Linked DNA regions of Saccharomyces cerevisiae S288C. Changing the gene in region 2 together with the main gene of any one other region gives a genetic interaction. Each region holds a gene or a part of one and is shown on either strand. Other genes may lie near its edges.

Region 1 (3,836 bases), on a different chromosome or scaffold from region 2:
GATCAGTTATATACTTCGAGAGGCAGATAACCTTTCTTTTTATAAGTGTTTATCAAATTTAAGTCTGCAAGCTATCATAAGACGAGGATATCCTTTGGAGACTCATAGAAATCATGGAAAGCACATCAGGAGAACGTTCCGAAAATATACATGAGGATCAAGGGATACCAAAAGTAATTCTGCCCGCTGATTTTAATAAATGCTCTAGAACTGACCTAGTGGTGCTCATATCACGAATGTTAGTATCGCTGATAGCAATCAATGAAAATTCAGCAACAAAGAAATCTGATGACCAAATTACTTTAACACGATACCATTCTAAGATTCCTCCAAACATATCAATCTTCAACTATTTCATACGACTGACAAAGTTTTCCTCTTTAGAACATTGTGTGCTTATGACATCACTCTATTATATCGATTTATTGCAAACTGTGTATCCTGATTTTACGCTTAATTCGTTGACTGCCCATAGGTTTTTATTAACAGCCACCACAGTCGCAACAAAAGGCTTATGTGATTCGTTCTCAACAAACGCCCATTATGCAAAAGTTGGAGGAGTACGATGTCACGAATTGAATATACTGGAGAACGATTTTTTAAAGAGAGTAAACTACAGAATCATTCCGCGGGATCATAACATTACGTTATGTAGTATAGAGCAAAAACAGAAAAAGTTTGTCATAGATAAAAACGCATTAGGGTCTCTCGATTTGGATTCTTATTCTTACGTTAATCGTCCAAAAAGTGGATATAATGTTCTAGATAAATACTATCGAAGAATAGTTCAGCTGGTGGGTTCCTTTAACGCTTCACCTGATAAGAGTAGAAAGGTTGATTATGTTCTCCCGCCAAATATTGATATAGTGAGTGAAAGTGGCTCCCAAACTACTCAACTAAAGGGGTCGTCATCACCCAATTCTCACTCTTCACAAAAGCGATATTCTGAGGCAAAGGACGCACATATCTATAACAAGCGATCAAAGCCAGATTAATGATTTTTCGTGGGGTATTATGAAAGCAATCATGATTGAGCAAAATTAAAACTTTCCATTTGTACATATATATATATATATATATATATATCTGTGTGTGTATAATAAGCAATTGGCCATCATTTGGCTAAAAAGTTCAAGATTTCAGGTAGTATATAAGAGAATAACTTCCCTCTTTTGCTAAAGAAGGATATGTTCTATTTCAGCCTTTTTGCATCATAAGAGCATAAGCGACAGAAAACACTTCGAGATGAGCTTGAGAACTCCATTTCAATTAACTTGATAAATACATGTAGATTCATATCATCACTGTTCTTTTCAGATACTAGTTTCAAAACTTCCTTGACAGAACCATTTCATGTTCAATAATGAAAATTACTTTCACATGTTTTAGTGGAAAAATACTGAACAATGAAATTTCAATATCGCATATAATAATTTTTGTTATCAAATATATATTTTTCGGAAGTCATATACATTAAATAATTAAAACATTATTTTTAAAAATTAAAAAAATATATTTTAGCAAATAGTTTTTACTTTTTTTTAAATGCAAAATAAGTTCACGTGATATTATTAATAATATTTTACCCAAAAATATGAGGGCATCGGAAAATTTTTCAGTAATGAATATTAATGTTCATCTGAAGATAGACGAAATAGGAACAACAAACAGCTTATAAGCACCCAATAAGTGCGTTATGACTTCTGAAAATCCGGATGTACTTTTATCTAGGGTGATAAATGTGGTGAGAGCAGCATCATCGTTAGCCAGTCAAGATGTAGACTTTTACAAGAATTTAGACAGGGGATTTAGTAAAGATCTGAAATCAAAAGCAGACAAACTTGCGGATATGGCGAATGAAATAATCCTCTCTATTGATGAGCATCATGAATCATTTGAACTTAAAGAAGAGGACATTTCTGACTTGTGGAACAACTTTGGAAACATCATGGATAATTTGTTAGAAATGTCAGACCATTCGCTGGATAAGCTGAATTGTGCAATAAACTCAAAGTCAAGAGGTTCCGATCTTCAGTATTTAGGCGAATTTTCAGGAAAGAATTTTTCTCCCACCAAAAGAGTCGAAAAACCTCAGTTGAAATTTAAAAGTCCAATTGATAACAGCGAAAGTCATCCGTTCATACCTTTATTGAAGGAAAAACCAAATGCTTTGAAGCCACTCTCTGAGAGTTTGAGGTTGGTTGATGATGATGAAAATAACCCCAGTCACTACCCCCATCCTTATGAATATGAGATTGATCATCAAGAGTATAGTCCAGAAATTCTCCAAATTAGAGAGGAGATTCCCTCAAAATCCTGGGATGATTCGGTACCAATTTGGGTAGATACAAGTACAGAACTCGAATCAATGTTGGAGGACTTGAAAAATACGAAAGAGATTGCCGTTGATCTTGAGCATCACGATTATAGGTCATACTATGGTATTGTTTGCCTCATGCAAATTAGTACAAGGGAAAGGGATTATTTAGTTGATACTCTAAAACTTCGCGAAAATTTACATATTCTGAACGAAGTGTTTACGAACCCTTCAATTGTGAAAGTTTTTCACGGTGCATTCATGGATATTATTTGGCTTCAGCGAGATTTAGGTTTGTATGTCGTTGGTCTCTTCGATACTTACCATGCGTCTAAAGCAATCGGTCTTCCTAGACATAGTTTGGCCTATCTTTTGGAGAATTTTGCCAATTTTAAAACTTCAAAGAAATATCAGTTGGCTGACTGGCGTATAAGACCGCTTTCAAAACCCATGACGGCATATGCTAGAGCAGATACTCACTTTTTACTAAATATATATGACCAGTTGAGAAACAAACTTATCGAGTCTAATAAGTTAGCAGGTGTTCTTTATGAATCAAGAAATGTCGCAAAAAGAAGGTTTGAATATTCAAAGTACAGACCACTGACACCTTCTTCAGAAGTTTATTCTCCAATCGAAAAAGAGAGTCCTTGGAAAATATTGATGTATCAGTACAACATACCACCTGAGAGGGAAGTATTAGTAAGAGAGCTATACCAATGGAGAGATCTTATTGCAAGAAGAGACGATGAATCGCCACGATTTGTTATGCCAAACCAGTTATTGGCTGCACTTGTCGCATATACACCTACTGATGTCATAGGTGTTGTTTCTTTGACCAATGGCGTAACTGAACATGTCCGCCAGAATGCAAAACTATTAGCTAATTTGATAAGAGATGCATTACGAAACATCAAGAACACCAATGAGGAAGCTACTCCCATTCCATCTTCCGAGACCAAAGCAGACGGAATATTGTTGGAGACTATAAGTGTTCCTCAAATCCGTGATGTTATGGAAAGGTTTTCGGTGTTGTGCAACAGCAATATTTCCAAGAGCCGAGCCAAGCCTGTCACTAATTCTTCTATTCTGTTGGGTAAGATTTTACCACGTGAGGAGCATGATATTGCATATAGCAAAGACGGCTTGCCAAATAAAGTGAAGACGGAAGATATCAGGATCCGAGCACAAAATTTCAAGTCTGCCTTAGCAAACTTGGAGGATATCATATTCGAAATAGAGAAACCTCTCGTTGTTCCTGTCAAGCTAGAGGAGATTAAGACAGTAGACCCTGCGAGCGCACCTAATCACTCGCCTGAGATTGATAATCTTGATGATCTTGTTGTTTTAAAGAAGAAAAACATTCAAAAGAAACAACCAGCAAAGGAAAAAGGTGTAACGGAAAAAGATGCTGTGGATTATTCAAAAATTCCGAATATCTTATCTAATAAGCCTGGCCAAAATAATAGACAACAAAAGAAAAGGAGATTCGACCCATCATCTAGCGATAGTAATGGAC
Region 2 (3,286 bases):
TCCAGAAGTTCTTCCACATCTACACATTTCATCATGAACTTCTTACATTCTTGCAAGTCTTCAAGTTCTTCATATAGTTGCGCTAACCGGTAATATATTGAAGTATTTTGATCGACCGTTTGTGAAGCTTTTATGGATCTTTTGTAGCATTTTATAGCTTCTACCTTATTTCCCGTCTTACTATAACATTCTCCCAATACTTGCCAAATCCGACGATCCCAAGGTTTCAAAGTGCAAGCTTTCTGGAAGTAGTAAAGAGAATATAAATGCATGTCCAGGAGAGCATAAGCCTGGCCCAAACCAAACCATGCTTTGAAGTCTCGAGGGCATATATCTACGGCCCGACGATAGCATTCTATTGCGGCATGTGAATTGCTTAGTTCAACAAATTCGTGACCCATCAAAGTCCATGCGTTTGTTGTTTTTTTATCCAAAGTTAGTGCTCGACGGAAATACATGATAGATTTTTCATGTTCCTGTCGGGCACTGTAATAGTTCGCTATGATACAACATGTTTCCGGTCTAAATCTATCTATTTGGGAGACGAATTGCGCCAAATAGGCTAATTTTGAATTCTTCTGCATGACGTATAGAATATTGGAGTAGGTTTCCAAATCGTTGAGACGGTACGGATCTTGTTTAACGATGTCATCAAATCGGCTTTCTGCGGTAACATAATCCAAATTGTTGTAACTAATAGTAGCATTGTAAGCCTTTAAAAAAGTGAAATTGGGGAAAACTTGTAACAAAAACTCTAAATCTTCAAAGTAGTCCTCTAACTGGCCATTAAGCTCCTCAAACACTTTTAGCTTGAAAAATTTGATCATTATATTAAATTCTATCGTTCGTTGACTACCAAGATTTTCAGAAAATTTGAATTGGAAATTTTGATATAGATAATTATTTAAAAGCAATGCATCGTCAACCTTTTGTAAACAGTCCATTAACTCCAGCCAGCAGGACCAGTTAAAGGAGTAGCAACTCAGAGATTTCAAGAATGACGACATTGCCTTAGAAATATTCTTCTCTTGCTTTAAGATGACCCCTCGTAAATAATACAACAGTGCTAACCCTAAATCGGCCTCATCATCGTCTATCTTTATTTCATAAGACTCCAGAAATGTGTTAATTTCCTTCAAAATAGATGATATGTTCGATTGTGACTCATGCTCATTGCTGACCATTTTTAAATTGGCGCGTTGGTGCCCACTTTGATTTATATCCTCATTCCCACTACCATCCCCATCTTTGTTAGCTCTGTACATTTCGTCCGTAAACTTCCCTGTAGTTAAGATATTTTCCATACTTTCCTGGCTTTTCTTATCCCACGATAGAAATTTACTGTATAATTTTAAGAACTTAAGGTATGGATTAGTGACATCTTTTAGAAAAAAAACGCATCGATCAAACTCTTTAGCATCAAACAACGTAGAACCAAGGAGGTACAGGTCATACTCAGTCTCTGATAGGCCAAACCCGTTTTGTGGTATTTCAAACATCTGTTTCGGTACACCTTGTTTATTTCTTAGTGGCGATTCATCGGCTAAAGAGTGTGTTTGATCAACATCAATAGCTTCTGCAAGACCTGCTAGCGCCTCTGCTGCCCACTTTGAGGAGCCGTATAGCTTCCATCGTGATAATTCTGTGGCAGCCTTTCGTAGCTGAATACGTATATCATGTATTATTTTATCCTGGCTGTCGTCATTCATGGTTCTAAATGCTTCACAATCTGATTCTGATCAGTATATATCCAGATTTCAGTTTTCCGCTCGCTAATACTCCCTTCTTCCTCTTAATTTGATGTGAGTACCGCAGTACTTGGTCTGCTATTATGAAGTGTTTGTTTTACCCGAAGTGCTTTTTATGTACGCGCATTGAAAAATAATAGAAACTTGGTAAGTAGAATACTTAAGAAGCTGCAGAAGTGCAGTATCTTACAGTAAGAAACAACAGCGACTAGTTTATCAGGTTTACACTGCTCAAGTTATCAAGTTCATAGCATGACAAAGGAAGAAGGTCGTACGTATTTTGAATCTCTCTGCGAGGAGGAACAAAGTTTGCAGGAAAGCCAAACCCACTTATTAAATATTTTAGATATATTATCAGTATTGGCAGACCCTAGATCATCTGATGATCTGCTTACTGAATCCCTCAAGAAGTTGCCTGATTTACACAGGGAGCTGATAAATAGTTCCATCCGCCTGCGATACGATAAATATCAAACAAGAGAAGCACAGCTTTTGGAGGATACAAAAACTGGAAGGGACGTTGCAGCGGGAGTACAGAATCCTAAGAGTATTAGCGAGTACTATTCTACTTTCGAACATTTGAATAGGGATACTTTAAGGTACATAAATTTACTGAAGCGACTTTCTGTTGATTTAGCAAAGCAGGTGGAAGTGTCTGATCCATCAGTGACAGTGTATGAAATGGATAAATGGGTTCCATCTGAGAAACTTCAGGGTATTCTCGAGCAGTACTGTGCGCCTGATACTGATATACGTGGTGTAGACGCTCAAATCAAGAACTATCTAGATCAGATCAAAATGGCACGTGCCAAATTTGGTTTAGAGAATAAGTATTCCTTAAAGGAAAGACTCTCTACTTTGACAAAGGAACTAAACCATTGGCGAAAAGAATGGGACGATATAGAAATGCTTATGTTCGGTGATGATGCACATTCTATGAAAAAAATGATCCAGAAGATAGATTCATTAAAGTCTGAAATAAATGCTCCATCGGAAAGCTATCCTGTAGATAAAGAAGGTGACATAGTTTTAGAATAAGCACATTTTATTTAACCAGCCTGCACAAGTTAGATAGAGTTATACATACTTGTTGAGTGGGAGGGAAGAAAGAGAAAAATTGTATTATTTTTTAAAGAGCTTTTTAATATTTTATTTGTTCTATCTATTATTTTCACTTCCCCGAAATAGTACTGAAGGAAAAAACATGCTGGTTTATTTAGCGTTTAATAGGATGTGTACGTACTGAGAATATCATCAAGAATCAGTCCTCGGCCAGAGCATCTAGATATGTCGATAGCTTGGTCTAGCGTTTTCAAAAGAGAATTACGGCTTGAAAGATTTTTACCAAGAGTATATTCGACGAAAGTTCCTGATAATGCACCAAGAGCGGCTGACAATGAACAATGGCTAGAAACCCTAAGACCTATAACTCACCCAGAACAGAAAAAGTCCGACCATGATGTCAGTTACACAAGACACATTAATGTTCCTCTGGGCGAAGTCACTTCTGTCAACTATCTACAACGGTATAATAAGCA
Region 3 (3,836 bases), on a different chromosome or scaffold from region 2:
AGGCAACTGAAAACCAGGCCCGTGTAATGTCGTCGTGGAATTTGAGGGGATCTTATTAATGTGGTCTTCTCTAATCTTGATAATTTTGTCGAATTGCTGGGAAAGAATGTTGGATTGAGTGACTAATGATTCATGAACAGATGATCTCGCAGATATGGACTCGAAATTTACCATTGGTGTATGGTAAAAGCCCTTAGCCACAAAGTTTGCTAGGATTTGATCTTCTGCTGCAGTGTGCTCCCAAGGCTTGAAATCAGGGTATACTTGTTCCTGAGGTTTCGAGCTTGGCACATAGGGGTGAAGATCATCTGGGGGAGTCAGCAAGTATCGACCAGAACCGTTATTCATCGCGTTATTGGCTTACCTCTATAGACCTTTTTTTAATCTTTCGATTAGCATCAAAAATCTCAGCATTTTTTCAGAAAGGTGTTTAAAATGCGCTATAAAGAATATAAAAAGTAATATATATGTATACATACTAATAAAAGGAAGAAAAAAAATACAAAAGATGATTATCTAGGACTTGTTTCCACCCAGGGGGGTGTTTAGTTTAATTTTGTTTCGTTAGATTGTGCATTCATTAGTTTGGTTTCTCTTTGGGGGCCAGTTCTGTCAACATTGGGCCAGTTGCCCCAATTGGAAAGCCTAACCACCACGCAAGTGGCGTTGTCTGAGTGTTTAGTGGCTATTGCCTGAATAAATTTGATTGTCTCCTCTGCAACAAATTGAGGAGTCGCCTTTTTCAGTCCCCAGGAGTTCACCGTAGAGGTGATGAGGTCAACAACCTCTTGGTCTGCAAGTTTATTGGTGATGCCGTCGGTGACAAGCGCCAGGAAGCATTCATCACCATTGAAGGGCAGCTTCGACCTTTCAGATCGCGGCAAATGCAAGGTATTTCCGACAAGAAACGAGAAAATATCCGGCTCACTAGATATACCATACGGTTTCCCAGCGACATCACCAAACGATCTAGTGTTGGCGAAATTATTCAAAAACCTTGTCTCTCCAAAGGCGTCTGGGTCCAATCGAGAAGGGTCTATGCTCAAACGGTGTCGTTCCCTACTGGAATTGATGTGGTGAGTTGTTGTTAATGCGTGTGCAATCCCGTCTTGATCGCAGAGGATGATCTTAGAGTCGCCCACCTGCGTGACAATGAGTTTGAGCAATCCAGAGTGCGATATGATCCACGAGTCATCGTCTTTCCCCTCATCAATGGGTGCATTCGGATCATCATACGGATATAGAAATATGGACGACGCTGTGGACCCCGCTGCGGTGCCCAGGCCGCAGCATTGGTCGAGATCGAACCTGGCAAACCCGTAGAACAATCGCAGACGGTCTAGCTCAGTGAGCAGTGCAATTTTGTCAATAATATTCCCCATTTTATCAAAAATCATCCTGCCACCATTTTGTCCAAGGATCGCACTATCGCCCTCCTTCATCAGCAGCAGTTCTTGTTTCGAGTTGCAGTTCTTTATAAACTTGTTGTAGAATTTTTCAAACGTGGACAGCTTATGTTTCCAGTAATTTCCCTCGGGAAACCTTCTTGCATATTCCTGTACCAACTTCTTCAAGTCCTGCTTGTCCCAGGAGGGTTCAGGGAAATCCAGGCTACTGCACAATTTATCGGCTAACAACTGTGACAGTTGCGCACCTTTCTCCCCATGGCCATCGAATACAGAGCAGTTCAGGGCACTTCCATACGCATTAGGCCACGACCGCATCATTTTAATGGAGTAATTGTCCTGGTTCTCTAACCGGTTGATCCTACTCGTGGCGTGACCCACGTACCCTGGAAGACCCCGTAACAAGTCCAGCTTCAGCCCAACATTTTGCGACGGCTTGCAATACGCATAAGCATTCCCCAGCCGCATCAAATTCCCCTCTTCTGATGCTTAATTGCCCCGATTGCAGCCTGTTATTGATACTATTGTTATCACTTCCCTATTTGTTCTTCTCGCATTACACGAAATTTTTTTTTTCCTCTTCCTCTTTTTAAAGAAAGAAACAAGGTGAATGAAAAGAAACATGTACACCTTGAAGGAAGCAAAGGTTTTAACCGGAAGTAAGAGCAGCAAGAAGCACTAGCAATGTCCTTCTTTGGGTTAGAAAATAGCGGTAATGCGCGGGATGGTCCTCTGGACTTTGAAGAGAGTTACAAGGGCTATGGCGAGCACGAACTTGAGGAGAACGACTATTTGAACGACGAAACATTTGGTGATAATGTTCAGGTTGGTACCGACTTTGATTTTGGAAATCCTCACAGCAGCGGCAGCAGCGGCAACGCAATTGGTGGTAATGGCGTCGGTGCCACGGCTAGATCATATGTTGCAGCTACTGCAGAAGGAATTAGCGGCCCTAGGACCGATGGAACGGCAGCAGCAGGACCTCTAGACCTGAAGCCAATGGAATCTTTGTGGTCTACTGCACCACCTCCAGCAATGGCGCCTTCACCCCAAAGTACAATGGCTCCGGCTCCTGCTCCGCAGCAAATGGCCCCCCTACAGCCAATCTTGTCGATGCAAGACTTGGAAAGACAACAACGTCAAATGCAGCAACAGTTTATGAATTTCCACGCCATGGGTCATCCACAGGGTCTCCCACAGGGTCCGCCTCAGCAGCAATTTCCAATGCAGCCTGCGTCGGGTCAACCAGGTCCCTCACAATTTGCGCCTCCACCTCCACCTCCTGGCGTTAATGTGAATATGAATCAAATGCCAATGGGTCCTGTACAAGTTCCAGTTCAAGCTTCGCCTTCACCCATCGGTATGTCCAACACTCCTTCTCCAGGCCCTGTGGTTGGCGCAACTAAAATGCCTCTGCAAAGTGGACGCAGATCGAAGAGAGATTTGTCGCCTGAAGAGCAAAGACGTTTGCAGATTCGTCATGCCAAAGTGGAGAAAATCTTGAAATACTCAGGTTTAATGACTCCTCGTGATAAGGACTTCATCACCAGATATCAGTTGTCTCAAATTGTCACTGAGGACCCTTACAATGAGGATTTCTACTTCCAGGTCTACAAGATTATCCAAAGAGGCGGTATCACGTCCGAATCCAACAAAGGTTTGATTGCTAGGGCGTATTTGGAACATTCTGGACACAGACTCGGTGGTCGCTATAAGAGAACCGATATTGCCCTACAGAGAATGCAAAGTCAAGTAGAAAAGGCTGTCACTGTGGCTAAGGAAAGACCTTCTAAGTTGAAGGATCAACAAGCGGCTGCTGGTAACTCTAGCCAGGATAATAAGCAAGCAAACACGGTTCTGGGCAAAATCTCTTCCACTTTGAACAGCAAGAATCCAAGAAGACAACTGCAGATCCCCAGACAACAGCCTTCTGACCCCGATGCGCTAAAAGACGTCACTGACTCTCTGACCAACGTGGACTTGGCCTCTTCAGGGTCCTCCTCTACGGGCTCTTCTGCCGCTGCTGTTGCTTCTAAGCAAAGAAGAAGATCTTCATACGCGTTCAACAACGGTAATGGTGCCACAAATTTGAACAAATCTGGGGGCAAAAAATTCATTCTTGAGTTAATTGAAACAGTTTATGAAGAGATTTTAGACTTGGAAGCTAACTTGAGGAATGGCCAGCAAACTGACAGCACTGCAATGTGGGAGGCCCTTCACATCGACGACAGTTCATATGACGTAAACCCTTTCATTTCGATGCTATCATTTGATAAAGGTATCAAGATTATGCCTAGAATTTTTAATTTCTTGGATAAGCAGCAAAAATTGAAAATCCTGCAAAAAATCTTCAATGAATTATCACACTTGCAAATCATCATATTGAGTTCCTACAAGACTACACCAAAACCAACTTTGACACAATTGAAG

What was found.
Region 1: mutations in THP2 (region 2) and RRP6 together harm fitness more than expected from each alone (negative genetic interaction), as found in Saccharomyces cerevisiae (5 studies listed by BioGRID).
Region 3: mutations in THP2 (region 2) and PAT1 together harm fitness more than expected from each alone (negative genetic interaction), as found in Saccharomyces cerevisiae (5 studies listed by BioGRID).

The regions. Positions count from the first base shown.
Region 1 is NC_001147.6:325,136-328,971, forward strand, and holds the start of RRP6 (exosome nuclease subunit RRP6), read left to right. Parts: upstream 1-1,696; coding exon 1,697-3,836. Other genes in the region: PHO80 (Pho80p), read left to right, coding at 114-995. UniProt on the Saccharomyces cerevisiae protein: Nuclear-specific catalytic component of the RNA exosome complex which has 3'->5' exoribonuclease activity and participates in a multitude of cellular RNA processing and degradation events.
Region 2 is NC_001140.6:437,342-440,627, forward strand, and holds THP2 (Thp2p), read left to right. Parts: upstream 1-2,000; coding exon 2,001-2,786; downstream 2,787-3,286. Other genes in the region: anaphase promoting complex subunit CDC23, read right to left, coding at 1-1,709; putative GTPase MTG2, read left to right, coding at 3,036-3,286. UniProt on the Saccharomyces cerevisiae protein: Component the THO subcomplex of the TREX complex, which operates in coupling transcription elongation to mRNA export. The THO complex is recruited to transcribed genes and moves along the gene with the elongating polymerase during transcription.
Region 3 is NC_001135.5:250,883-254,718, reverse strand, and holds the start of PAT1 (deadenylation-dependent mRNA-decapping factor PAT1), read left to right. Parts: upstream 1-2,090; coding exon 2,091-3,836. Other genes in the region: SRB8 (Srb8p), read right to left, coding at 1-348; type 2C protein phosphatase PTC6, read right to left, coding at 546-1,874. UniProt on the Saccharomyces cerevisiae protein: Activator of decapping that functions as a general and active mechanism of translational repression and required for P-body formation. First decay factor recruited to mRNA, at a time when the mRNA is still associated with translation factors.